7 linked regions of the Macaca fascicularis genome follow. The protein of the gene in region 6 purifies or fractionates together with the protein of the main gene of each other region. This does not show direct contact. Links are inferred from orthologs where the notes say so. Each region holds a gene or a part of one and is shown on either strand. Other genes may lie near its edges. The genes, in order: TOP3A, RFWD3, ZUP1, SMARCAL1, RFC1, RPA3 and PRPF19.

What was found.
Region 1: the proteins of RPA3 (region 6) and TOP3A purify together in Homo sapiens (affinity purification with mass spectrometry; 3 studies listed by BioGRID and IntAct, with this or other methods). This does not show direct contact. The link is inferred for Macaca fascicularis from reciprocal best matches to the Homo sapiens genes RPA3 and TOP3A.
Region 2: the proteins of RPA3 (region 6) and RFWD3 purify together in Homo sapiens (affinity purification with mass spectrometry; 5 studies listed by BioGRID and IntAct, with this or other methods). This does not show direct contact. The link is inferred for Macaca fascicularis from reciprocal best matches to the Homo sapiens genes RPA3 and RFWD3.
Region 3: the proteins of RPA3 (region 6) and ZUP1 purify together in Homo sapiens (affinity purification with western blotting; 3 studies listed by BioGRID, with this or other methods). This does not show direct contact. The link is inferred for Macaca fascicularis from reciprocal best matches to the Homo sapiens genes RPA3 and ZUP1.
Region 4: the proteins of RPA3 (region 6) and SMARCAL1 purify together in Homo sapiens (affinity purification with mass spectrometry; 3 studies listed by BioGRID and IntAct, with this or other methods). This does not show direct contact. The link is inferred for Macaca fascicularis from reciprocal best matches to the Homo sapiens genes RPA3 and SMARCAL1.
Region 5: the proteins of RPA3 (region 6) and RFC1 purify together in Homo sapiens (affinity purification with mass spectrometry; 3 studies listed by BioGRID and IntAct, with this or other methods). This does not show direct contact. The link is inferred for Macaca fascicularis from reciprocal best matches to the Homo sapiens genes RPA3 and RFC1.
Region 7: the proteins of RPA3 (region 6) and PRPF19 purify together in Homo sapiens (affinity purification with western blotting; 3 studies listed by BioGRID, with this or other methods). This does not show direct contact. The link is inferred for Macaca fascicularis from reciprocal best matches to the Homo sapiens genes RPA3 and PRPF19.

Annotation. Positions count from the first base shown.
Region 1 is NC_088390.1:18,406,098-18,409,597, forward strand, and holds part of TOP3A (DNA topoisomerase 3-alpha), read right to left. Parts: intron 2,181-3,500; coding exon 1,498-2,180; intron 1-1,497. UniProt on the Homo sapiens protein: Releases the supercoiling and torsional tension of DNA introduced during the DNA replication and transcription by transiently cleaving and rejoining one strand of the DNA duplex.
Region 2 is NC_088394.1:70,441,914-70,445,413, reverse strand, and holds part of RFWD3 (E3 ubiquitin-protein ligase RFWD3), read left to right. Parts: intron 1-3,362; coding exon 3,363-3,500. UniProt on the Homo sapiens protein: E3 ubiquitin-protein ligase required for the repair of DNA interstrand cross-links (ICL) in response to DNA damage. Plays a key role in RPA-mediated DNA damage signaling and repair.
Region 3 is NC_088378.1:20,658,688-20,662,187, reverse strand, and holds part of ZUP1 (zinc finger-containing ubiquitin peptidase 1), read left to right. Parts: coding exon 1-113; intron 114-3,500. UniProt on the Homo sapiens protein: Deubiquitinase with endodeubiquitinase activity that specifically interacts with and cleaves 'Lys-63'-linked long polyubiquitin chains. Shows only weak activity against 'Lys-11' and 'Lys-48'-linked chains.
Region 4 is NC_088386.1:112,310,119-112,313,618, reverse strand, and holds part of SMARCAL1 (SWI/SNF-related matrix-associated actin-dependent regulator of chromatin subfamily A-like protein 1), read right to left. Parts: intron 2,278-3,500; coding exon 2,044-2,277; intron 1-2,043. UniProt on the Homo sapiens protein: ATP-dependent annealing helicase that binds selectively to fork DNA relative to ssDNA or dsDNA and catalyzes the rewinding of the stably unwound DNA. Rewinds single-stranded DNA bubbles that are stably bound by replication protein A (RPA).
Region 5 is NC_088379.1:38,590,733-38,594,232, reverse strand, and holds part of RFC1 (replication factor C subunit 1), read left to right. Parts: intron 1-328; coding exon 329-725; intron 726-2,902; coding exon 2,903-3,015; intron 3,016-3,500. UniProt on the Homo sapiens protein: Subunit of the replication factor C (RFC) complex which acts during elongation of primed DNA templates by DNA polymerases delta and epsilon, and is necessary for ATP-dependent loading of proliferating cell nuclear antigen (PCNA) onto primed DNA.
Region 6 is NC_088377.1:122,832,888-122,837,097, forward strand, and holds the start of RPA3 (replication protein A 14 kDa subunit), read left to right. Parts: upstream 1-1,410; 5' UTR 1,411-1,455; coding exon 1,456-1,554; intron 1,555-2,766; coding exon 2,767-2,841; intron 2,842-3,916; coding exon 3,917-4,025; intron 4,026-4,210. UniProt on the Homo sapiens protein: As part of the heterotrimeric replication protein A complex (RPA/RP-A), binds and stabilizes single-stranded DNA intermediates that form during DNA replication or upon DNA stress.
Region 7 is NC_088388.1:13,367,166-13,371,172, reverse strand, and holds the start of PRPF19 (pre-mRNA-processing factor 19), read right to left. Parts: upstream 2,801-4,007; 5' UTR 2,599-2,800; coding exon 2,580-2,598; intron 1,667-2,579; exon of another isoform or gene 1,390-1,666; intron 122-1,389; coding exon 1-121. UniProt on the Homo sapiens protein: Ubiquitin-protein ligase which is a core component of several complexes mainly involved pre-mRNA splicing and DNA repair. Required for pre-mRNA splicing as component of the spliceosome.

The sequences.
Region 1 (3,500 bases), on a different chromosome or scaffold from region 6:
GCTGAGCTTTTTACAGAGGCAGAAACCCAAGCAAGCTGATCTGTGTGGTGGGGTGGGAAAGACAAGCAGCCTGTGACCAGCAACCTGCGACCCCTTCCTGTCCCTCAATGGGCCTTTCCAGACCAGCTGCCCATTTACCCAGGACAGTCAGCCAGCCAGTCTGGGGGTCAGATACCATGTCCTTCCAAGTGGGGAGACAAGAGGCCAGACTGCATCTCACTTCAAATGTGGGCCTCTCACTGCAATGGCCATCTCTGGGCCCCACTGGCACTAGTAGCCAGTTCCAAGTCCCACAGTTTTTACCAAGCCTCTGGGTTCTTCCTGTGCATGCCGGGCTGGTGACACATGTATAAGAATCATAGTCTGAGACTAAACTCCTTTCTAAAACAGGAATCCTATGAATGTAGGCAGGGGCCATCTTGTTGAGCAAACTTGAGGCAGAGAGGCTAAGTCATTTGTTCAAGGTTATACTGCTGAGCTTTGGAACCAGATTCACCCAACTCCAAAGCTCCCACTAGGCCTTTGGGTCATTCTCAGCTACTTAATTAAGCTCTGCTGTGCACTGGAGCAGGAGGAACCATTCAAAATGCCTCCACCTACACCACTCAACTTGATGCAATGTCTAGGTGCCACTTCTCATGACACCCAGTTCCCGGACATTGGCCTAAGCTGTGTCACCCTGGGCAGGTTCCTAAATATCATTGGGGTTGGTGTCTATCTGAAGAAATGAGGCTGGGCCGGGCATGGTGGCTCACGCCTGTAATCCCAGCACTTTGGGAGGCCAAGGCAGGCAGATAACCTGAGGTCAGGAGTTCGAGACCAGCCTGACCAACATGGTGAAACCCATGTCTCTACTAAAAATACAAAATTAGCTGTGCGTGGTGGTGCATGCCTGTAATCCCAGCTACGTGGGAGGCTGAGGCAGGAGAATCACTTGAACCCGGGAGGTGGAAGTTGCAGTGAGCCAAGATCGCACCACTGCACTCCAGCCTGGGCAACAAGAGCAAAACTCAGTCTCAAAAAAAAAAAAAGAAATGAGGCTGATGCTTATGGTCTGCCAAGGGTCACAACAGCTGCAAGGGCACAAGGCCATTTGGGAAGGCCTATGTCCTCATTCTGGTGTCTGTTGCTATGGGACCCTGAGCAACGCCCACTTCATGTGTCTGGGTCTCACCTTTCTCACTTGTAAGTAAAATTGTGATCATAATGCTTACCCGATGAGGATGGAAGATGCATAGGAAGTATACTTAGCACAGTGCCAGGCATAGGGCAAATGACACCATTACTGGTAGCTACCCTTTAATCTAGAATGAGGACTGTACAATCATCACCTTGCTGAAAGTGATCAAGTGAGGAAACAGAGGTGCAAGGCAGCCCAGGTGCCCTTCCCAATCCCACCATGACCCTGCCTTGCCTTCTTTCTGCTGTCCCCAGTCTTCTCTGAGGTAGATACCTGAAAACCCAAGGCAGGGATTCCCATGCCCCTCCCTGCCTCACCTGGAGCGGTGTTCTCATCGACCCACTGGAAGAAGCCACACTGCTGCTCTCTCGGCTTGGCACACGTGTGGAACTGGCGCCCCTTGTTGGGCCCATCCTTCTGTACAGTCCGTGTGACGGCGGGCTGGCTGCACAGGCAGGATGTACCAGTACCACTGCCATCACCAGGATTGCCAAACCCACCCAGGTGGATCCCTGGGCCTGGTGGGCGTCCCAGGGAGCCGCCTAGGGGTCTATATGCCGAGGCGGGAGGCCCTCCTGCTCCCTGATTGGGGCTGTCTGCCCACAGGAAGAAGTTGCAGCTACCCCCGTTACACTTAAAGAATTGCCGGCCCTGGTTGGGGCCCTCCTTACGGACAGTAAGCAGCACAGCCTCCTGGCCACAGTTGCAGGTCACAGAATTGCTTTCACCAGCAGCCGTGGGTGGTGGGAGGGTCTGGGCCAGAGCCTTTGAGGGCCCAGTCTGTCTGCTGTCAGCAGGCTGGGGGTGCTGGCTATTGTCCATCCTGTTCAGAGACTGGCTAGCCTGCAGGTGACCAGAGGGCTGGATAGCCCTGGGGGGGCCCCGTGAAAATCTCAGGTCCAGGATCTCCCTCAGGGTCTCGTCGCATCCACCGATGCAGCAAACAAACTCCAGAGGCATGGTCGGGGGAAGGCTACCGCGCTTAAACTTTAACTTCAACCTAGTGAGGCCAGAAGATGGGAAAAAACATTAACAACCAGGTGCCAGCTTCTCCTTAGTCCACTGAGGGCTGCTTTAGCCCTAGGCCTCTCTCCACCATTCCTTATGCATCAGGAAGCCCACGCAAGTCCCCTGTGAGGCCCTCTGTCAGCCCACTACAAGCCCTTGCCAGTCATCACAGGAGTGGACAGTGGGAAGCAGTGCAGATGACATCTAAGATCCCAGTAATTCACTAAAATAAAAACACCTCTGAGAAGTTCCATGTCTCTATATCAGCAGTTCTCCAAGTGTGGTTCCAGGGTGCCTAAGCCCTTCCAAGGAGAATGCAAAACTATTTTATAGGCCGGGCGTGGTGGCTCATGCCTGTAATCCCAGCACTTTGGGAGGCAGAGGCGGGTGGATCATTTGAGGTCAGGAGTTCGAGACCAGCCTGACCACCATGGTGAAACCCTGTCTCTACTAAAAATACTAAAAAAATTAGCTGGGCATGCTGGCATGTGTCTGTAGTCCCAGCTACTTGAGAGGCTGAGACAGGAGGATCGCTTCAACCTGGGCAGTGGAGGTTGCAGTGAGCTGAAATTGTGCCACGACACTCCAGCCTGGGTGACACAGTGAAGACTCTGTCACCCACACAAAGATTTTTATAATAATTCTAAGGCCGGGCATGGTGGCTCATGCCTATAATCCCAGCACTTTGGGAGGCCGAGGCAGGTGGATCACGAGGTCAAGAGATTGAGACCATCCTGACCAATATGGTGAAACCCCATCTCTACTAAAAATACAATAATTAGCTGGGCGTGGTGGCACGTGCCTGTAGTCCCAGCTACTCAGGAGGCTGAGGCAGGAGAACCTCTGGAACCTGGGAGTCAGAGGTTGCAGTGAGCCGAGATTGCGCCACTGCACTCCAGCCTGGCGACACAGCAAGACTCTGTCTCAAAAAAAAAAAAAAAGAAAAAGAAATTCTAAGACGTTATGTCTATTTTGCTCTTATTCTTCCATGTGTATAAAATGGAGTCTCCCAGAGGTGCCAGCACATGCAATGACTCAGCAGACTGACTGCAGAAGCAGATAGGGGAATCTAGCTCTCTTCTATTAAGCCAGACATACAAATTGCAAAATGTAAAACAATGTCATTCATGTCATTGTTATTTTGCTTTGGAAAATAAGTATTTTATTACCCTAAAAAACACAGTATTTACGGTAGTATGCAATGCATTTGCTAGAAATAAATCATTAATTTTTTTTTTTTTTTTGAGACAGTCTCACTCTGTTGCCCAAGCTGGAGTGCAGTGGCATGATCTCGGCTCACTGCAACCCTCAC
Region 2 (3,500 bases), on a different chromosome or scaffold from region 6:
GGTTTTCTAAATGTTGAAATCCAAGTCTTTTCAAATGCTCAATTAAATCATTTCTAAATCTTGCAGATGTTTCTTTCTGCTGTCTTTAGCATAAGATTTCTGCCAACTGGAAGACCCCTTTGCTTTAACATGGTTTTATAATGGTCCTTTATCCCATCTAAGTTTTTAATAAAAAGATTTGTCATCAAATAGAACCAACAAATTGGAAAAATAACTATTTTCTAATGTTCCCCAAATTGGGTATGTGTTCTGTTCTTTTTTTCTTTTTTTTTTTTTGAGACGGAGTCTCGCTCTGTCGCCCGGGTTGGAGTGCAGTGGCCGGACCTCAGCTCACTGCAAGCTCCGCCTCCCAGGTTCCCGCCATTCTCCTGCCTCAGCCTCCCGAGTAGCTGGGACCACAGGCGCCCACCACCTCGCCCGGCTAGTTTTTTTTTTTTGTATTTTTAGTAGAGACGGGGTTTCACCGTATTAGCCAGGATGGTCTCGATCTCCTGACCTCGTGATCCGCCTGTCTCGGCCTCCCAAAGTGCTGGGATTACAGGCTTGAGCCACCGCACCCGGCCCTGTTCTTTTTTTCTTAACGTGTCCATTCCAGTCCGCTTGATAGTGTGCTGGTGCTGATTTGTCCTTGTTCCCCTTAATGATTAACTGGGTGTGTATTTCTATTACCTTGTTGATTTTTTTTTTTTCTTTTTTTTTCCTTTTCTTTTCTTTTTGAGATGGAGTCTCGCTCTGTTGCGCAGGCTGGAGTTCAGTGGTGTGATCTCAGCTCACTGGAACCTCTGCCTCCTGGGTTCAAGAGATTCTCCTGCCTCAGCCTCCTGAGTAGCTGAGACTACAGGTGCATGCCACCATGCCTAGTTAATTTTTGTATTTGAGGGTTTTAACATTTTGGTCAGGCTGGTCTCAAACTCCTGACCTCAGGTGATCCACCCATCTTGGGCTCTCAAAGTACTGGGATTATAGGCATGAGTCACCATGCCCAGCGACCTTGTTGATTTAAAGCCTATACCTGCACCTGCACCCACCCCCACCCCTTGCTTTTTTTTTGCCCCCTCTCTGGCTGTCCTAATTCTGCTGGAAGAAAGTGCAATAAGCCACGTACTTGGTTCCCTGGAGAAGCTGAAGCTGTCTTGAATCTAGGATTTGATGCATTTTTAAAGAATTTAACTCAACTGGGCACAGTGGCTCATGCCTATAATCCCAGCACCTTGGGAGGCCAAGGCGAGAGGATCGTTTGGGCCCAGGAGTATGAGACCAGTCTGGGCAACATAGTGAGACTCCATCGCTATAAAAAAAAAATTTTTTTTTAACTAGGTTGGTGTGGTGGCACACCTCTCTGGTCCCAGCTACTTGGGAGGCTGAGTTGGGAGGATCACTTGAGCCTAGGAGATCAAGGCTGCTGTGAGCCGTGATGGTGCCACTGTACCTTAGCATTGGTGATAGAGTGAGACCCTGTTTATATATATAACTTAGTTAAAAATAAATGTTATAGCCTAGTAAGAGAACAGAGTAACAAATAGTTTTCAAAGGTTATTGGTTTTTGTTGGTTATTTTTACCCCTTTCGGGAATGTGGGTACTTGAATTGTCATCGGTCTCATTTCAGACAGATGTGACATATCTTGACTGACATATTATTTATTTTCATTCTCTATTGTTCACTGTTCCTTCTGCATCTAGAGTGTGGTTCTAGTGAAATATTCTCTCTCAACAGCTTTATTGAAGTATAATTGACAGTAAACTGTACATATTTAAAGTATACAGTTTGATTACTTTTCACATATGTAATACACCCCTGAAACCATCACTACAATCAAGATAACTACTTTTTTTTTGACACAAGATCAAGTTATATCTCCCAGGCTGGAATGCAGGGAGGGGTGTGATCTCAGCTCATTACAACCTCCACCTCCTGGGCTCAAGTCATCCTTCCACCTCAGCCTCTCGAGTAACTGGGAGTACAGGCTCGCCCCACTATGCCCAGCTAATTCTCATATTTTTTGTAGCGACAGGATTTCACCATATTTCCCAGGCTGGTCTCGAACTCATGAGCTCAAGCGAGCCATCCACCTCAGCCTCCCAAAGTGCTGGGATTCCAGGCATAAGCTACCATGCTTGGCCATGAACATATGTATTACCCCAAAAGTTTCCCTATGGCTTTTTATAATCTCACCTGCCCCTCCCTCCTCTCCCATCCCCGGCAGTCACTGCTTTTTGTCACTACAGATGAGTTTGTATTTTCTAGAATTTTACATAATTGGAATCATACAGTGTTAACCATTTTTTGGTCTGACTTCTTTCTCACTGCATGATTTTTTATTGTAGTATATGTTAGTAGTTAATTCCTTTTTAATGGATAGTATTCCATCATACCTGTATACAGTAGGTTTGTTTATCCATTTACCTGGACGTTTGAAATGGGTTATACTTTTTCTTTTTCTTTTTTTTTTTTTTCCTTCTTTTCATTGTCATGAGGCAAGCGTGGGTTGTACTCTCTTTTCTCTTCTCTCTTCTCTCTCCCCTCTCCCCTCTCCTCTCTCCTCTCTTCTCTCTTCCTCTTCCTCTTCCTCTTCCTCTTCCTCTTCCTCTTCCTCTTCCCTTCTCTGACAAGTTTTGCTCTGGTTACCCAGGCTGGAGTGTAGGGTGCAATCTCGACTCACTGCAACCTCCACCTCCCAGGTTCAAGCGACTCTCCTGCCTCAACCTCCCGAGTAGCTGAGATTACAGGAACTTGCCACCACGCCTGGCTAATTTTTTGTATTTTTAGTAGAGACAGGGTTTCACTGTGTTGACCAGGCTTGTCTTGAATTCCTGACCTCAGGTAATCCACCTGCCTTGGCCTCCCAAAGGTTTGGGATTACAGAGGTGAGACACCACGCCCGGCCTGGGTTGTACTTTTTTAAATAAATCATAGGCCGGGCGCAGTGGCTCATGCCTGTAATCCCAGCACTTCGGGAGGCTAAGTCGAGCAGATCACTTGAGGCCAAGAGTTCGAAACCAGCCTGGCCAATACAGTGAAACCCCATGTCTACCAAAAAATACAAAGTTAGCCGGGCGTGGTGGCGCGTGCCTGTAATCCCAGCTGCTCGAGAGGCTGAGGCAGGAGAATTGCTTGAACCCAGGAGGCAGAGGTTGTAGTGAGCCAAGATTATGCACTGCTTTTTAGGCTGGGCGACAGAGTGAGACCCTGTCTCAAAAATAAATGAATAAATTATAACACTGGAGAATTGTCGTTTGACCAGCTGGTTCCCAGGGACTTATATGCGAAGAAAGGTGGACAAAGAAGCTACTTGAAAAAGTAGTTTGCATTGCCCTAGGTTCACTTTCAGTGATCTGTTTCATACTATTTTGCCTTTGGCAGGCTTTGGTGTTAAGATGTTGAGTACTGCCAACATGAGAAGCAGTCAGTACATTCCGATGCATGGCAAACAGATCCGTGGACTGGCTTTTAGCAGTTACTCCAGAGGCTTGCTACTCTCTGCTTCCCTAGACAACACTA
Region 3 (3,500 bases), on a different chromosome or scaffold from region 6:
AAGGAAGGTTTTGATCCTCAGGGGGCCTCTCAACTTAATAACAGGTTACAGGGAACAAAGGCCTGGATTGGAGCATGTGAAGTATATATACTCCTGACCTCCCTAAGGGTAAAGTATGTACCTTAAAACCTAAATAAATGTTATTTCCTTATCTGGGAGCTTTGTTTTTTAAAATTTTATTTTTTATCAAAGAGATAGTTTAAAAATAAAATTAAGTAGCACTGAATTAAGTAGTATTGAAAATCAGTAACCTATTCACTATCTTGTGCTGTCCTCTACCCTCAAGTCCTGTCTCTCAGAGGCAACTGTCACTTCCATTGTTTTTAAATAGTATGCTTTCATAGCTGTTTCTTCGTTTATGAGTTTTAAGTATTGTCTGTTTTAATATCTTATACTTGTTTACCTTCAATCCTTCTAATATGATTAAACCTCAGTTTTTATTAAAATCAGAGTTTACATCATTTTATAAAGTCAGATTTTATTACACAATTGCATAAATATTGCTTATTGCTGATTTTGTTTTCTAAAATCATTTATAATTCTTTCTTGAGTTAATAATTGTGTTTCCTTTTCTCTTTTACTATAATATGTGACGACATCATGGCCTCAAGTTTTTGCACCCCACCTGTCATGTAATCTGAGGCTCTCCTTATTCTTGGACACATCCTTCTTGGAGCCTTCTGTCCTCTTTGCTCCAATCTGGACTTTTTGCCTTCTAGATCTACAGCTATTATCATGTAGCATTTGTTCACTCTGTGTGTGTGTGTGTGTGTGTGTGTGTGTGTGTGTGTGTGTTAGGACCTGGATTTGTCTTGGATTTCATGTCTCTTTTTTAGGTTACTTCCTTTTGCTCGAGCACTTCCTTCATTAGTTTCCTGAGAAAGGGTGCCTAGTCATTATTACTTAAATGATAGTTTGGATGGCTATATTATTCTTAATTCTACAATCATTTTCACATCAAATTAAGTTTCTATTCTTCTGATGTCTAGCGATGAATATTACTATTGAGGATGGTAAGATGTGATCAGATTCTCATTTTTAAAATGTATAACCTATTTATTTTCTATGGAAGTTTTTCCAGTCTTCTCTTAGCCCGTCGTAATTTCATGATATTATGAAATTTCATTGTGGGGTGTAGGGCTTTGATTCATTGTGTTAGGCATTTGTTTTTCTCTTTGAATCTGGAATTGTGAGTTGTCTAAGATCTTAGTTCCATCTAGGATAGTAGGTAAGAGCTTGAACTTTGGAGTGAGACTGCCTAACCTTGATTCATACCTTTCCTACTTAATAGCTGAATGAATGAGCTCATCTGTACCTAGGTCTACCATTGATAAAAGAAGGTATTAATAGTAGTTAGACAATTAAATGGAATAATAAAGTGCTTAGAACTGTGACTGGCACACAGCGTGACTTCAGAGGTTAACTATTGTTGTTTGATAGTTATAATCCCTCCATTTTCTTTGTGGAACCGTTGATAGATGGCCACTGAACTTCTCTTTTTTTTTAAATTTATTTGAGACGGAGTTTTTGCTGTGTTGCCCAGGCTAGAGTGCAGTGGCGCGATCTTGGCTCACTGCAACCTCCGCCTCCTGGGTTCAAGTGATTCTCCTGCCTCAGCCTCCTGAGTAGCTGGGATTACAGGTTCCTGCCACCATGCCTGGCTAATTTTTGTATTTTTAGTGGAGACGAGGTTTCACCATGTTGGCCAGACTGGTCTTGAACTCCTGACCTCAGGTGATCCATCCGCCTCGGCCTCCCAAAGTGCTAGGATTACAGGCTTCAGCCACCGCTCCCGGCCTGAACTTCTTTACCTTCTAAGTTTATCATGTCTTTTTCTTTAAAATCTTTGCCTTTTGTTTTATTTTCTAGATTTACTCAAATTTATCTCCCAATTACTGTATTGAAATTTTTATTTTCACCATTATGTTAAGGGGTAATTTCACAGCATCATTTTCTTTATGGTTGCAAAATTTCTTCCAATGTTTTCTTTCTATTGCCTGCATTTTGTTTGTTCCATATTAATTTATTTTCATGTCTGTTACTTTAGTCTTTTCTATTTTGAAAGCTTTCTTTTAACTTTTGGAAATCCTTAGTTGTCCATTCAGAGAGTGAAGAATGAAACATTAAAAAGCTGATTTAATGAAACATTAAAAAGGACTGCATAGAGCTTGCAGATTAGCAGATTTCATTTAAAAGTCTTAGGTGGAAGGTTACTATTTGATTGGGGTACTCTCAAAGATCATTATATAGAGAGATCTTTTCCCAGAAGTTATCCAGAGAAGAGTTTTTCACTTTCCTCCCTAGAGTTCCTGCATTAGTGGAGGGGAGAGTTAAGGTGTGATTTGCCTTCGAAGCAAACTTTCAATTAATCTCATATTTTTAGCCTCACTGTTCTCAAACCTTGTGCTTCTAAGCTTTCAGCCTCTCTCTGATTTTGAAACATACAGTCTCCATTTTCTTTTCTTTTTTTTTTTTTTGAGACGGAGTCTGGCTCTGTCGCCCAGGCTGGGGTGCAGTGGCCAGATCTCAGCTCACTGCAAGCTCCGCCTCCCGGATTTACGCCATTCTCCTGCCTCAGCCTCCCGAGGTAGCTGGAACTACAGGCGCCCGCCACCTCACCCGGCTAGTTTTTTGTATTTTTTAGTAGAGATGGGGTTTCACTGTGTTAGCCAGGATGGTCTCGATCTCCTGACCTCGTGATCCGCCCGTCTCGGCCTCCCAAAGTGCTGGGATTACAGGCTTGAGCCACCGTGCCTGGCCCATTTTCTTTTATTTACTTGGATATGTTCTCTGTGCTGCTTTTCATTTTCTGAAGATGTGAGCTTTTTTCCTCTCTATTCCCATTCTCTTTGTCCTTGGATGTTTAAATCATTTTCTCCTTCAGTATTGTGTCATCGGGCTTTTAAGAGGAAATAGAGATAGATGTCTGTGATCATGTTTAATGGAACATTTGCCTTAAGCTTTATGGCTTTATATTTTCTTTTATGTTTGTTTCTAAGTTATTTAACCAGTGTATCACATTCTTTTTACCACATTAATTGATTAGATTCAGAGGTAAAAATATTTCTTTCGTTTATATAGAAAAACTAATATTGTGTGTATATATAATAACTTAAATTTAAAGAACTATTTTAATGCCCTCTAAATTTATTTCTGCTTTCCTCCTTTTTCTTTTTGCCAATCTGTTCACACTTTCAGATTATATATACTCTGTCATGTTTTGATGTTTTGAGTTTTAAAGTAATTCTTTTTCTTTTTTCTTTTTTTTTTTTTTTTTTTTTGAGACAGAGTCTGTCTCCAGTTTGTCACCCAGACTGGAGTGCAGTGGCGCAATCTTGGCTCCCTTCAACCCCTGCCTCCCAGGCTTAAGTGATTCTTGTGCTTCTGCCTCCTGAGTAGCTGGGATTACAGGCATGTGCCACCACACCTGACTAATTTATTTATTTATTTATTTTTATTTTTAGTAGAGACGGGGTTTCACCATGTTGTCCAGACTGGTC
Region 4 (3,500 bases), on a different chromosome or scaffold from region 6:
TGGCACAGCAGCAATCAGGAAACGTTGTGAGCAACAGCTGAGGCAAAGGAACCAATCATGGTTTTTGGACATCCGGGTGTGAGCAGTATCAGTATCAATACTTTCATGGTACCCACTCCCAGAATGCAGACCATGTCAGGAGTGTGATCTCACAGGCCGGTGACAGACACACATCACTGTATTTGCCTTTTTTATCTTTTATTGAGATTGTAGCCCAGGCTGGAGTGCAGTGGTGCGATCTTGGTTCACTGCAACCTCTGCATCCCAGACTCAAGTGATTCTCCTGCCTCAGCCTCCCAAGTAGCTGGGATTACAGGCTGGAACCACCATGCCTGGTTAGTTTTTGTATTTTTAGTAGACAGGTTTCCATCATGTTGGCCAGGCTGGTCTCAAACTCCTGTGACCTCAGGTGATCCACCCACCTCGGCCTCCCAAACTGCTGGGATTACAGGCCATTGCACCCGGCCTGTATTTGCCTTTTACGGGCCACCCCAAGCAGAAGCCAGACATCCAAGGGGGCAGGAAAGGCAAAGGATCTAGGCTGTTGTGGAGCAGCTCATTTCACGACCCGTCTGGGCCTCGCACAACTCCCCTATGCCCTGCTCACCAGCCTGCCCTCATCAGTCCAAACTCCATCCACCTAAGGATGATGACGTAGCAACCAGCATCAGCCTCCCCCGGAAGGAACCAAAATCCTGATGAAAACTCTTGTTGAGCAAGCAATTCTAGAGGCTTCTTCCAGGACGATGCTTGAATGTGAGGTCTCAAAGGCATGAGGTTTTAAGTATTTAAGTTCTACCTGATTAAGAACAAGATTAAACCAATTCAAGAATGGGGAAACACCGATCCATAAAAACTATATCGTTTTTAAAAAACAATGTGGCCCAAGCTAAGAATGACACCCAGGAGTCCAGAATCTATAGCTGCTTCTCCTCTATTCTGATGGGGCAGCTTTTGAAGAACCTCACAAAAAGATAAAGCAAAACGACCAGGCGTGGTGGCTCACGCCTGTAATTAATCCCAGCACTTTGGGAGGCCAAGGCGGGCGGAGAAGTTCGAGATCAGCCTGGCCAACATGGTGAAACTCCGCCTCTACTAAAAATAAAAAATTAGCCCAGTGTGGTGGCGGGTGCCTGTAGTCCCTGCTACTCAGGAGGCTGAGGCAGGAAAATCACTTGAACCGAGGAGGCAGAGGTTGCAATGAGCCAGGATTGTGCCACTGCACTCCAGCCTGGGCAACCGAGTGAAACTCTGTCTCAAAAATAAATAAAATACAGCAAAACTATTCTGCCTTGGCCAGTAGATTTCAAGACTGGCTTATAATTAGGCTCATCTGAAGATTAAAAAAAAAAATGAAACAAACAAACAAAACAGCAATGTCCAAGCCCCACCTCAGACAAAATAAATCAACTTATCTGGATAAGAACTAGGCATCGGTGTTTCTAAAGTGGCCCCGTGATGCTGACGGGCAGGCCGAGAGGAGAACTATCAGCATTTTCAAACTATGGCACCATCACCAGCAGCAGCACCAGCTCAGAGAACTTGTGAGAAACGCAAATTTTTGGCTCCACGCTCAAGTTCCAGAATCAGAAACTCCGGTAGTGGGGCCCAGCGATCTGCGTTTTAACATCCCCTGCAGGCGGTTCCCTGCAGGCTCAAGTTTGAAAACCACGAAGTTTGCATATGGAAAAGCATTTATTTTTATGGCAACCACCTGTTTTTTTGCTCTGCAAAGGCCAAAATAAAAACAGATGGGTTTTAAATGGCTGAAGCAGGAATTTACCTGCTTCCACCAAGAAGGCATTGACCAGGGGGAAATTATGGGGTCTTCTCTTTGGAAGGCCTTAATGACAAAACAGCCGCCACTGTATGTTTACTATCTGGAATAATTAACGTGTCATCTTTCTATAGGAAGAGGAGCAGAACGGGAAGGCTTTCCCAAGAAAGTAAATTTTGAATATTCAAGGTAGAGAAAAACACCCTATGTTGAGATCACAGACCATACTACACATTCAGGGAATCAGACAAAGACCAATTACTTGCCGTATCTTCTGGAATCCATCTGTTTAAAAAGTGCAATCAGGTCCTGTGAATATCCGATGTCTGCCTCGAAGTAGGCCCTGGATATGAGCATGCATCGCCCTTTGACAAAGGAAAGCGACGGAGCTGATGGAAGGCCGGCCTGTCCCTCACTGCTGGTGGAGGGTGACTCGCTGCTGCCATAGGCCCATTCCAGAGGCTGCAGGTTGACCGTGGGGAGGCTCTGGGCTGCTTTCACTGCCAAAGAAGAAGAATCGAACAGAAGTGATAAAGCAGAGGGCTATGATGTGGCTTTGAAACACAGGCAAGGGAAGAGGGAGAAAGTGGGGAAGGGACATGTTCAAGAGGCACTAGGTTTGGCAGGAAGGCAAGAAAAGGCACTGTTAGATTAGGAAGGCTTGAAAGTGTTTTCTAGTTGGGGCTTTGGGAATTTCAATATTTGTTGAATGTAACTTTCCATCTCCTTAAGTTTTTCTTTTTTTTTTTTTTGAGACAGGGTCTTGCTCTGTCACCCAGGCTGGAGTGCAGTGCCATGATCAGGGCTTACTACAGCCTCAAACTCCCTGGCTCAAACCATCCTCCACCTCAGACTCCCCAGTAGCTGGGACCACAGGTGTGCACCACCACATGGGGTTAACTTTCGTATTTTTTGTCGAGACAGGGTTTCGCTATGTTGCCCAGGCTGGTATCAAACCCCTAAGCTCAAGCCATCTACCCGCCTGAGCCTCCTGAAGTGCTGGTATTACAGGCGTGAGGCACCATACCTGGCCTCCCTACATTTTTCAAATCAAAAAATTTAAAATTCAGAAATTAACAAGGGAAAGAGGAAGCTTACCAGGATGAATAAACTTATTAGATAATTTCTGGCACTGTGTTGGAGAAGCCACTGAGGTCAGCACACCACAAATCACCCAGTTAAGCCCACTCCTAGGTCGCTACTCTGTCTACTGCTCAGAGAAGAAAGGAGTGAGGACCAGGATCACCAGGTCACAAACGCACAGTTCTAAACATTATTTCATCTACTACAGATGCATTTTTATAATTAACAAATTCAACTGTATAACACTAAGCTGTCAACAGACACACACTGAAGTGAAAGGCAAAAACCCTGAGTAAAGAAATATAAAAAGAGCTTATGCTTTAAAAAAGTACTAAGACCACAAAAGAAGAGGATAGAGATGTAGCCAATTCAAAAAAGGAGGAAGAAGACTAACAAACATTTGAAGAAATGTTCACCTTCACAAATAATCAGAAAAATAAGGGACTTTTTTACTTATCAAACTTGTCAAAATTACTTATCAAAATTGATGAGAAACAATTAGACAACCATATTGCTAGTTGGGAATAAAACCTTCTAGAAAACAATTTGGCAATTATAGCAAGAGCTCTAAGAATAATGATTCAACTTCTGGGAATCTATCCCAACTACCAATTGAAAATACAGACCAAAACTTAGGTAC
Region 5 (3,500 bases), on a different chromosome or scaffold from region 6:
ATTAACTTTTAATTAGGAAACTTTGAAACAAAAATCTCAACACTATACCTTGTTTTTTCCAAACTAAAATTGGAGTACTTATTACTTCTAAAATCCAACATGTTCTCACTTTTAGAAATTGCGTTTGGTGGTTTCTGGTGTGTTTGTTAATTTTTATAGTTTAGAAGGTGGTGACTTCCACAAACAGGAAAGTCTGTCATGACAAGACCATCCCAGGCTGAATAGCCCACCTGGATATCTCTGATTGCTCTCTGTAGTACGTTTAGCAGGATAGAAATTCTGTATGTTTCATCAGGTTTCTTCTTTCCTCACTTTTCTGCTCTTTAAGATGAAGAAAGAGTCCAAACTGGAGAGAACACCCCAAAAAAATGTTCAAGGCAAAAGAAAAATTAGTCCATCTAAAAAGGAATCGGAATCTAAAAAGAGCAAGCCGACTTCCAAAAGGGACAGTTTGGCAAAGACAATAAAAAAGGAAACAGATGTGTTTTGGAGAGGCCTGGATTTCAAGGAGCAGGTGGCCGAGGAAACAAGTGGTGACAGCAAGGCTAGGAATTTGGCTGATGACAGCAGTGAAAACAAAGTGGAAAATTTGCTCTGGGTGGATAAATATAAGCCAACCTCACTCAAGACCATAATTGGACAGCAAGGTGACCAGAGCTGTGCCAACAAACTCCTACGCTGGCTCCGAAACTGGCACAAGAGTTCTTCTGAAGATAAAAAACACGGTGATTTTACAGCCTCACTCATTTTTGTGTGTGTGTATATCAACATGTGATTGCTCAGTGGCACATATATAAGAAAATCTAACGGTTCATTCATCTGTCAGCAAGCATTTACTAAGAGCTTGATCTGAACCCAGGTGCAGTACTAGACCCTGCTGGTGGTGTTGTGAACAAAACAGTCCCTCTCAGGAGTTCACAGGCAGTGGGGGAGGCTTATCTGAACCAGCAATTAAAATGTATTGTGCCAAGTACTGCTAGAGGGGTAAGTCCAGGGTGCTGTGAGGATGAAGATGTGTGGTCAGGGCCTGGGTGTGTGTCCTCCCGTCCTGGAGGAAGGGATGGCTAAGCTAAGACTTGGAAACAAAGTAGGAGGTAGCTAGGCGAAGGGAGGGAGGGGTGAGTGTTGGGTAGGAAAGAGTATGTGTCCCAAGGTCTGAAGCCATGTGACAGTAAGACCCCTGAGTGGCAAGGGCACTAGGAGGAAAGGTGTGAATAAATAACGGAGGCATGCGTGCAGGGCAGTCAGCCTCAACTCCCGGTAGCAAGCACGATTTGCTCTGGCAGGCCTGATAGGCCTGTGCTTCTGTAGTTTCTGTCCTTGTTTGTGATGTATTTATTGGGGAGAGTGAAAAGCTCCAGTATGTATTTAATGTCCACAGTATTTCTTAACGGAGGTTTGAGATCACAAATGTTTTAGTAGTGTTGTCAACATAGACCAGTGATGACTAGATGCCGATCACCGTTGCTGATGATGCCTGTTTATTTAAACAGATAATATATTGTAATGGTATAGGACTCAATTTAAGTTAAATCATTTTTTCATTCTGAAACTTAATAAAATCTCCCCTAAAAGAGAGACAGGCATTTCATGTGCCCAGAGAAGACTTTTTTTTTTTTTTTTTTTTGAGACGGAGTCTCGCTCTGTCGCCCAGGCTGGAGTGCAGTGGCGCGATCTCGGCTCACTGCAAGGTCCGCCTCCTGGGTTCACGCCATTCTCCTGCCTCAGCCTCCCGAGTAGCTGGGACTACAGGCGCCCACAACCGCGCCCGGCTAATTTTTTGTATTTTTAGTAGAGACAGAGTTTCACCGTGGTCTCGATCTCCTGACCTTGTGATCCGCCCGCCTCGGCCTCCCAAAGTGCTGGGATTACAGGCGTGAGCCACCGCGCCCGGCCGACTTTTTTTTTTTGAGACAGTCTCGCTCTATTGCCCAGGCTGGAGTGCAGTGGCGTGATCTAGGCTCACTGCAACCTCTGCCGCTTGGGTTCAGGAGGCTGAGTACCTGGGGCTACAGGTACACACCACCATGCCCGGCTAATTTTTTGTATTTTTAGTAGAGATGGGGTTTCACCATGCTGGCCAGGCTGGTCTCGAACCCCTGACCATGTGATCCACCCGCCTCTGCCTCCCCAAACGCTGAGATTATAGGCATGAGCCACCGTGCCTGGCCGAGAAGACTGTTTTAAAGCTTCAGGTGAACTGTAGTCCCTGTCTGCATGCCTGCTGGCAGTAGGTTTAAAACCATTGTCTCTGTCAGTTATTGAGTATGAGTTGAGCCTGATGTATGTGCCAGGTGCTCACGTGGTGAGGGGAGGAAGAGTGCTGGTCTAGTGTTGAGGGGCACAAGATAGTTGCAGACACAGCATCTTCAAGTCAGTTTTTTTTCTTGTGACCATGTAGCTACTATGCTTGTTAACATTTAGTGAAGCATGCATGGCTCTGTGCTCAGCCATTCGGTCCTCACAACATCCTTAGTAGCAACTTTACTGTTGTTCTCCTTGTCTAACAAAGGAGGAGGCAGTCACAGGGGCTAAGTTACTTTTAACTCACCGTGGCTGGTGAGAGGTGGCATGAGGATGGATGGAGTCGGGATCGAGCCCCGGCAGCGTGCTCCATGGCCTGTGCATTCACAGGGAAGGAAACTCATACAATTATTATTTCAAATCAAGAGTTTTAAAGTGAGTTAGTTTTAGTTTTTTATTTTGGGTGGAGGTGAGCTAGGAAGTAGAATTTCACTGAATGCTCTGGAAACTTGTTTATGTTTTGTAGAAAATATTCTGCAAATTTAGAACTAAACTGGAGGATGGCTGTCTATGCGAAGTTTAGGCACAACTATCCCTGCCATGCCTGAATTTCTGTTAGGTGATATAGGTTAACACTCTGGAACTTCTTTTTTCCTAGCAGCAAAGTTTGGTAAATTTTCCGGCAAAGATGATGGCTCTAGTTTTAAAGCAGCGTTGCTGTCAGGCCCTCCTGGTGTTGGCAAAACCACCACAGCTTCCCTGGTGTGTCAGGTGGGTACTTTGTCGCAGTGTGGTTGGACAGATAACCTCAAGTGGTCATGGCTAGGAGATAAAAGCGTGTACCCACATGTGTGCCTGTGTGTGTGTGTGTGTGTGGTGTCTATATATAAACTGTGTTTATTTGTCTAAAATAAAACCTTTAGAACCTGTTTTGGTTCTGGTGATGTTTGTAATTTTAATCCTTTTAAAATATTGGTAATTAAAGTACTAGGCAATACTTACCTATGAGCGAGGCAGCGTGCTCAGCACGTGGGTGTGTTATAGATAACAAAAACATGTATTCTAGACTCTGAAAGATGCAAATATCTTAATGCCCTTGAATAATTCTGTGTACTGAATAATTATCTGTACTGTCATCATCCACACGTGTGAAATGAAATAGGCTTAGGGAGGAGGGTGGAGGCCCAGGTTTCACCCATGTAGCACGACTCAGGGTTCTACTCTTCAGCACTGTGTGGTCCTGCCTTTGTTCCTGT
Region 6 (4,210 bases):
ACTAAGGGAGACTATCATTTAATTATCGTACATGAGATTCCAATCTTAAATTGCCACGTCAAGTCTCAAATCGGATCTTTTTTGCTTAAGGGAATTTGAACGATGACAATTCTGTAGCTTTGGGCAAATTCACACTCAGTTTCCACAAAGTTATAATACCCAATTAAAACTTCTGTCCCATTTGCACAGTACCGTTTGAAGGTATTTTTATGCGTATTCACTCTAGAATATTCCTGGCAAGGCCGCCGGCTTCGGGTCTCAAGATGAGCCAGGGACAGATTGGAGACTACCCCCAATCTCCCAGGAATCGGTTATCTTCCAGACCTCCAGATCGCCCTCCAGAGTAGAAAGACTGCTGAGGGGGTTTAAACTGTTGAGTCAAACATACCGCCAAAAGTTAGGGTCAACCGGTACCTTGCAAATCATTCCGCCTAACCCTTCGTTTTGCGGATGGGGAAAATACGCCTCAGAAGGGGGAACCCTAGCTCGGGGAACACTAACTCGGGGTCTAACAACGATTTAAGCTTGTCTCCTCTGGTAGTGGCCAGTAGTCCTTCTCCGTTACCCATCCTTAATTGCTTCTATTGGCTGCCAACGCGGAGGAGGTAGCGGGGTGAGAGAACCGGCACCTCCGCAGTGTGGCCAGGTTGGGCTAAAAAACGTCTTAGAAGTAATCGAGTCACTCTCTCTTCTTACAGGTGGAGAAACTGGAGAAAGTAGAGTGACGCAGCGAAAGGAGTAAATCGACCCTCAGCCAACAAGTGGCAAAAGCCTGAAGAAAGTGATCAAGATCACTGATGACCCCTCTCCCCATCTCCAAGGGGGCTGGTATCAAAACCCCGACGCCACACCACATATTATTCAGCAAAACTCCCGCGCCTCCCACGCAGAACCGGCAAGAGGGAAGGCGAGGCAACAGTAACAGCTGGTACGCAGCACCCACAGCACCGCGGCAGCAGCTGGTACCGAAATCCCGCCTAGCTCTTTTGACTCTGTCCGCGGGAAGAATGGGGAAATAGTAAGGCTGCGGCGCCTCCCGCGAGAAGAGGTACCTGAGGCTCGCGCCGCAGTCCGCCGCCGCACCGGCACCGGAGCTCCACACCCCACTTCCGGGGTCAAGTCACCGCCGAGAATCCAGTGATCGCAGAAGGGTAGCCTCAAGTTCCGCCCCTATCCAAGCCCCGCCTCCACTGCCTCTCGCCCTGTGTCAGGCAACTTCCAGGACGCCGTGCGTCACTAAGCAGCCAATCTCCACTTCCGGACGCATCCCGCCCCTTCTCCACCCCTTTCAGTGACAGCGCGATTGCGATTTAGTTTTCCGCGCATTTAATTGGCGAAGCTGGAGCGCTAGTCTTCGCTGATTGGTGCCGGGAAATCTGCCCCATAGACACCCGCGGGGCGCACAGTTTCAGTAGTTCGTGGGTTTCCCGCCAGCTGCAGTCTTGGACCATAATCATGGTGGACATGATGGAGTTACCGAGGTCGCGCATCAACGTCGGCATGCTAGCTCAGTTCATCGACAAGCCTGTCTGCTTCGTAGGGAGGCTGGAAAAGGTATGCGGGTTCGCAGTCATGGGCTCCCCTGTCCGTAGCTGGAGGGAGGGACCCCATGACCGCCTGGGTGGCGGATTCTAAGTGGATAACGGCGGATGAAAAAGGACGGAAAGCCTCAGATCACTGCGCTCCCGAATCCTTTATTTTGCAAAAGGAGACTTCTTGGAAATTCTTTAGCCGTTGTAGCCCCATTTTGGTGCCTCTTTTATGACACGGAAACAAGGTGTTTTCAGATGCTCTGCGTTCTAAATTCCAGTGCCCGTCGCCTCCGTTCTGGCCGTGCTTACGTAGGGGAAATTATAAACACGACTCCCACATCTAGCTTCAGATTTCTTAGTTTACTCAGACGTCACGGACGCCGACAAAACTAATCTGCTGGATTCCTTCTCTTCTGAAATTACTTCTTTTTGCAAACCTCGTTTCCTCGTAATCGCTTCTCTGTAAAACATGCCTTGATTGTCCGCTTTGGGTCCCGTAGTAGTGAGTTATCTAACCCCACTATTAAAGTGAAGTTCCCTCATTCTACAGGCGAGAAACAGGCCCAAAGTCTTGGAATCAGTGACCTGAAAAGCTGAGGAAAAGAAAACTATTATATAAAGACTTATTTAGTAGCTCATTTCATCCACACATCCTTTTCCTTAAATGAGTGTTGCTTTGACTTCCCAAGTAGGGAAACTGAGTATGAGTGGTAGGTGGTTGACTAAAATGCTCAGAAACTCAGCAAGTGGCAAAGGTGGCATTCAAACGCGATCTGACAGCGCTCTTTACAGCTGCTTCCCAGGAGTAGACACAGATATTCTAGCAACCAGTTCTCCTTTTACTTCATCATGCCTGATTTTTAAAACATACCCTCCATGGGATATGTGCTGTCTAAATCATGAGTGCCAGCAGCTTTCACTTTTCGATAGGGTGGGCTTCCTTTGATTTGTTATTAGAATAGGGTTGCCATATTTAGCAAATACAGAACCTACTTATACACTACCAAAAAAAAATCCTTGTTTATCTGAGATTCAAAATTAACTGTGTTCCATGAAGACATTTGGTAACATAAGATTATAATTTGAACTAATAAGTTGAATAAACTGAATGAATAGAACGAATAAACTGTTCAAAAAACAGTTGATTTGTGCTCAATTAAGGATCAATGTACTCATCGTTTGTCAAACTTTTTTGTTGTTTCAGTGAGATTTTAATCTTATGTTTCGTTTTTAGATTCATCCCACTGGAAAAATGTTTATTCTTTCAGATGGAGAAGGAAAAAATGGAACCATCGAGTTGATGGAACCCGTATGTTTAAATATTAATAAGTCTCATATATATTATAGTTAATTCTTCATATGGATTTGGTTTGTTGCCAATGTGTCTAATTTTTTGGAATGAATTTAAAAAGGATGAGCTGGTAAAACGTCCCTGGCTCAAAAATTAAATTCTTGTACTATTCTCTCATTATATTTCCTTTTACATTTTTAACCAATGATTTTTTGGGCTTCATGATTTTTGAAAATATCCCATAAATGCTGGATAACAATTCTCATTCCTTATGAAAGACCATAAAATCACATAAGAAAAATTTAAATTGTTTTTTTCTTCCTCAAGAGGTTTTTTGTTTTGTTTTTGTTTTTTGTTTTGAGACAGGGTCTCACTCTGTTGCCCTGGGTGGAATGCAGTGCCACCGTCGTGGCTCACTGCAGCCTTAGCCTCCCGAGATCAAGTTGCTCCCATCTCAGCCTCCCCAGTAGCTGAGACTACAGGCATGCTCAACCATGCCTGGCTAATTTTTGTTTTGTTTTGTTTTTTGTAGAGATGGAGTCTTCCTATGTTGCTCAGGCTGGTCTTGAACTCTTGGTCTCAGGCAATCCTCCTGCCTCGACCTGTCCCTCAAAGTTTTAAATTTTATTTTATTTTCTATTTTTGTTCATATATTTCAGTTTTTACTTATTTATTTTTGCATTTTATGTTTAAAATACTTAAAACTTGTTTTGGCATTTTGTGAAGACAAATCCATATGCTGTTTGGTTAATGTGTACAGAACACATTGTGAAATACAGATTATAGAAGATTCCTCTCATAGGAAATTACTGCTTATAGAAATGCTGGACATTTTCAATAGCGATTTCGGCTTTAACTTGAATTGTAGCTTTGTACTTGAAGCTGCTAGTAAATGTAACAGGAATGTTAACATGCTGACAGTTAAGTACTCAAACATTTGTTAACAAGTTACATTTTAACTTTTGCATTGGTAATTTTTAAAATTACTTTGTTACTTGAAGTGAAAGATTAGTAACCTGTATAACAGTTTTCCAAATTAATTGTCAACTGAAAATGTGGTAACACCAAATTGACGTCTTGTTCTGTGCCTTAGCTTGATGAAGAAATCTCTGGAATTATGGAAGTGGTTGGAAAAGTAACCACCAAGGCCACCATCTTGTGTACATCTTATGTCCAGTTTAAAGAAGATAACCATCCTTTTGGTAAATAAAGCATTCTAGTATTGACTGGTTTTATGTAATTAGCAGGAAAACTTTTTATTTTTAATTTGATATATATTGGGCTAAAGAATTAGTACTGCTATATTTTCAATTTCTATAGAATTTTGTGATCCTAAAGGAAAATGGGGGTACATTTTGTTTTGACCTGCTTCTAAGTAGTGCTTATA
Region 7 (4,007 bases), on a different chromosome or scaffold from region 6:
AGAGGCTGGTTGTTGATGGGGTCGGTACCATTCTCTGCAATGTACTTCTCAATGAGCCGCCGCTCATAAACATGATTAGAGACAGGGGACACACATGGGTGCTCCGGCACTTCATTAGAGACTGTAGAGAAAAGGCCGGCAGTGAGCTTGGAGTGAAGGCAATCTTGAGCCTAGAGGATTCCTCATCTGCTATTAGCCCCAACAAGACTAGGCATCCTCACAATCAACTAGCAAAAAGCAAGACATCTGACCCTAAGCCAGTTCTGTACTGGCCCCAGAACGCTTTCCAGCTGTGGAACTAGCTTTTCCTTTAGTCTCCTGACAATCAGATAGTCAACAAATAATTATTAACAACTACTATGTGCCAAGCACCTAGAGAACAGCAGTCCATTATCGCCACCTAATATCTGAACAATGATTGTGTACTCTATGAATACAGTTTACTCCATGACATGGAGACACACATGAAGCCATTCAAATCCCTTCCATCCATCTTAGTCTATAGCTCCAGAGGGATTATCAAAGAAATCATAAAGTCTGAGAATATAGGAATAACAAACTCAGTTTCTCCCATTCTCTCACAAAACAAAATACTTCTGTGACAGATGTGACCATCCGGGTGTCCTCCAATTCAATTCTGACACCAGGTACCTGGAGATAGTGTCAGATCACACGGGTTGAGGTCTCAGTCCCACCAGACTCCCCCACCCCTTCAGATGCCAATCGCAAGCTCCAGGTTGTTTGACCTGTTCTTCTGATCTACCAGCTGTAAATCAGGGTTCCCATGACCCCCTTTTTGGGTTCAATTAATTTTCAACAGTGACTCACAGAATTGTGGGAAACACTTATGTTGACCAGTTTATTATAAAGGATATTACAAAGGGTATAGATGAAGAGGTGCATAGGATGAGGTATGGGAGAAGGAGTACAGAGTTTCCCATGCCCTCCCTGGGCACCCCACCCTCCAGGAACGCCCACATGTTCTGCTATACAGAAGCTCTTTGAATCCTGCCCTTTTGTATTTTTATGAAAACTTCATTACAAAGGCATGATTCAATAAATCACTGGTCACTAGTGACAACTTCAGCCCCTCTCGTTCCCCAGGTAAGTGGGAGGTAGGACTGAAAATCCCAACTTTCTAATACCCTTTAGTCTTTCTAGGTGACCAGTCCCCATCCTGAAGCTATTGACGTCTGCCAGCTACCAGTCAACTGATTAGGATACAGGCAGACACTTATCACCTGGAAGATTCCAAGGAGCAAAGTGGCAATCATTACAATAAAAATATTTACATGGCACATGTCTATGTGCCAAGCACAATTCTAGGCATACAGTACAGTAATTCATGTTCACAACAACCCGCAATAGAGGTATCATTTACACTCTTGCCTGCATAGACTGTGCGCCCCTTGAGGATAAGGATTACAGCTGGTCTCTCACTTCCAGTACAATGCAGATGCCCCCAGGGCACTCGGTAAACATCTAACGAATGAGTGAACCCTGCCAGGAAAGATAGTGCTGGGGAACGTAAAAGAGAGCTTTCCCAAGACTGGAAGGAAACAATGAATGTGAAGGTACTTTGCGAGCTGTAATTTCTTCAATGTGAGAGATTCCTTTTCCATCATTTCCCTTCCTTCTTCCCCCTCTCTGGATCAACGTACAGGTTCTGAGAAGAGACGGAGGTGAATAGCAAAAGGGAGGGGAAACGAGTAATCTGATGAAACAACGAAAAGGGAAAGGAAAACGTATGTACGTCATGATAAAATATCAAAGGGAAAGATAGTGGAAGGTATGGAAAAAGCAAGGATTCAGGCTCCAAACTCCGTGTCACCTAACTACGTCACCCAGCTCTGCCATTGACTAGCTACGCATTCTTAGATAAGCCCCGCTCTTCCTGAGCCTTGCCTCCTCATTTGCAACACCAGGATCTTTTCTCCTTTAGGGAATTCTTGTGAGGATAAAATGAGATCCTAGACTTGGAAGCGCGTTGTAAACCAATAAGGGCTTTATAAATGTGCGCTGTTTTTAATTAGTCATACACTGTAAGGCTGGGAGCCATATACCTAGCTGCCAGCCTTGCCTACCTCTAACTCATCATGTGACCTTTACAAATTGCAAAAGCTGCGACTATCCGAGCAAGGCCTCACAAAATATCCAGTGCAATGCTCTCAATTTTGCAGATGGGGAAACCGAGGCACAGAGCCTTAAGCCAATTCACAAAGCCAACAGGAGGCGGACCCTGGACAAGACCTCGGGTTTCCTGACTCTTACATCAAGGCTGTTTCCCCTGCACCAGCTCCCTCTGTCCAGGCCTGTTTCCACTCGGTAGAATGAGGCGACCTGCCTCAGTAATGCCTGCGACAATAAACCTCCGGCACTATGTAAACTGCGGAGCACTGCGCAAATGCACCCCGCTCCGAGGGGAGGGCTCCGGGGCTGACAGGCCGCCGCTCTGCCTCTGGAGCGCCCCATTCCCGCCTCCACCCCGGCCCCGGCCCCGGCGCCGCAGTGGCCCGCACACGCTCCCGCGCCGCTCTCCGGCCTCCTGCGACCCGCGCTCGGCCGCAGGCAACACTCACTGGAGCAGATTAGGGACATGGCGCCGTTGCCGCGCTCCCAGGCGCCACACGCCGGACTCCGGGACTGGCTTCTGAGCCTCCGCGAGCCACTTCCGGTCCCCCGCTGCTGCCGGGACTGCTCAGCTGCGAGCTGGGAGCCGCCAGTCGAGCGATGCTCGCGTAGCGCTTCACGTGGGAATGGGGACAGCCGCGCGCCACTGCCTCCAGCACCTAACGGAAATGGACCTTTCCCAGAATGCAGCCGGGCAGGAAAGGGCCCGCCACGAACACTCGGTTATTTCCGGATTGACTCGGCTCGTTCCGTAAAGCGCCCGGGGATTGGCGGGGGCGTCGGAAGAGAGGAGACTCGAAACTACATTTCCCATGATGCAGTGAGAACTTAAAACCAAAGCAATTGGACAGCACTTGTTTTGACAACTGTGCGGCACTGTGTCACGGGACCCTGGTCTTTGAAACCTTGGTGTGCGCGAGAATTTCCCAATTTCCCATTGTTAAAATGCAGATTCCTCGGATCTGCGTAGACAGACTGCCCCCCACGCTATTCTAAGTCAGGTGTTTCTCGGGCCACCCTTTAAGAGACACTGCTGGATGGCCTGGTGTTAAAAATACAGAGGCAGATGGGTACAGGAACTAAGAAAACGGCTAAGACAGCGTTTTGGTCCTGACTACTACCGTTTCGCTCTGTGATTTGGGGCAATTCACATTGGCTTCCCTGCCCTTTCTTCTTTGTCAAAAGACAAAATCACAACAAATTTAGTTTAAAGTTTTTTGTTTGTTTGTTTTGTTTTGTTTTTGTTTTTGTTTTTAAGAGACGGACTCTGGCAATGTTGCCCAGGCTGGAACGCAGTGGCTATTCACAGGTGCAATCGTAGCAATCATGGCTATCACAGGTGCATCCTGGAACTCCTGGGCTCAAGTGATCCTTCTGCCTCAGCCTCCAGAGTAGCTCTGGGACTTAGGGTGCAATTCTATAAAATTGGGCAGCGCCTTACACTATAAAATCTAATGGTTGTTCCAATGAGCTGAACAGGGGAGCTTGGTTTTTTAGACAGAAAAGGACTGAGGAAAACAGAAACAACAAAAATGGGATTGGTCATTTGGTAATCTCAAAATTACTTTTCTTGTAAAGGTTAAAGTGGAGGGTACTTCTTTATCATGCCATGTAAAACTTGCCTGTTTGGGAATTTAGCTCTCCCTGCCAACACACATGCACACACACACTCTCTCTCAGAAGGTCATAAAGATCTTAGTTTCAGCTCATTGGGGTGGAACTTCAGCAGGACTCTTTTTAGCTTGGTCTGTTAGGCCTAGCGCAAGAGCTCAGTCCAAACCAGTGGCCTCTTATCAATTTATTTTGTATTTTCTGTTTCTCTTCCAGCTCAGATAGTGTATGATTCTTTGTGGATATCTGTAAGATAAGATACTCTC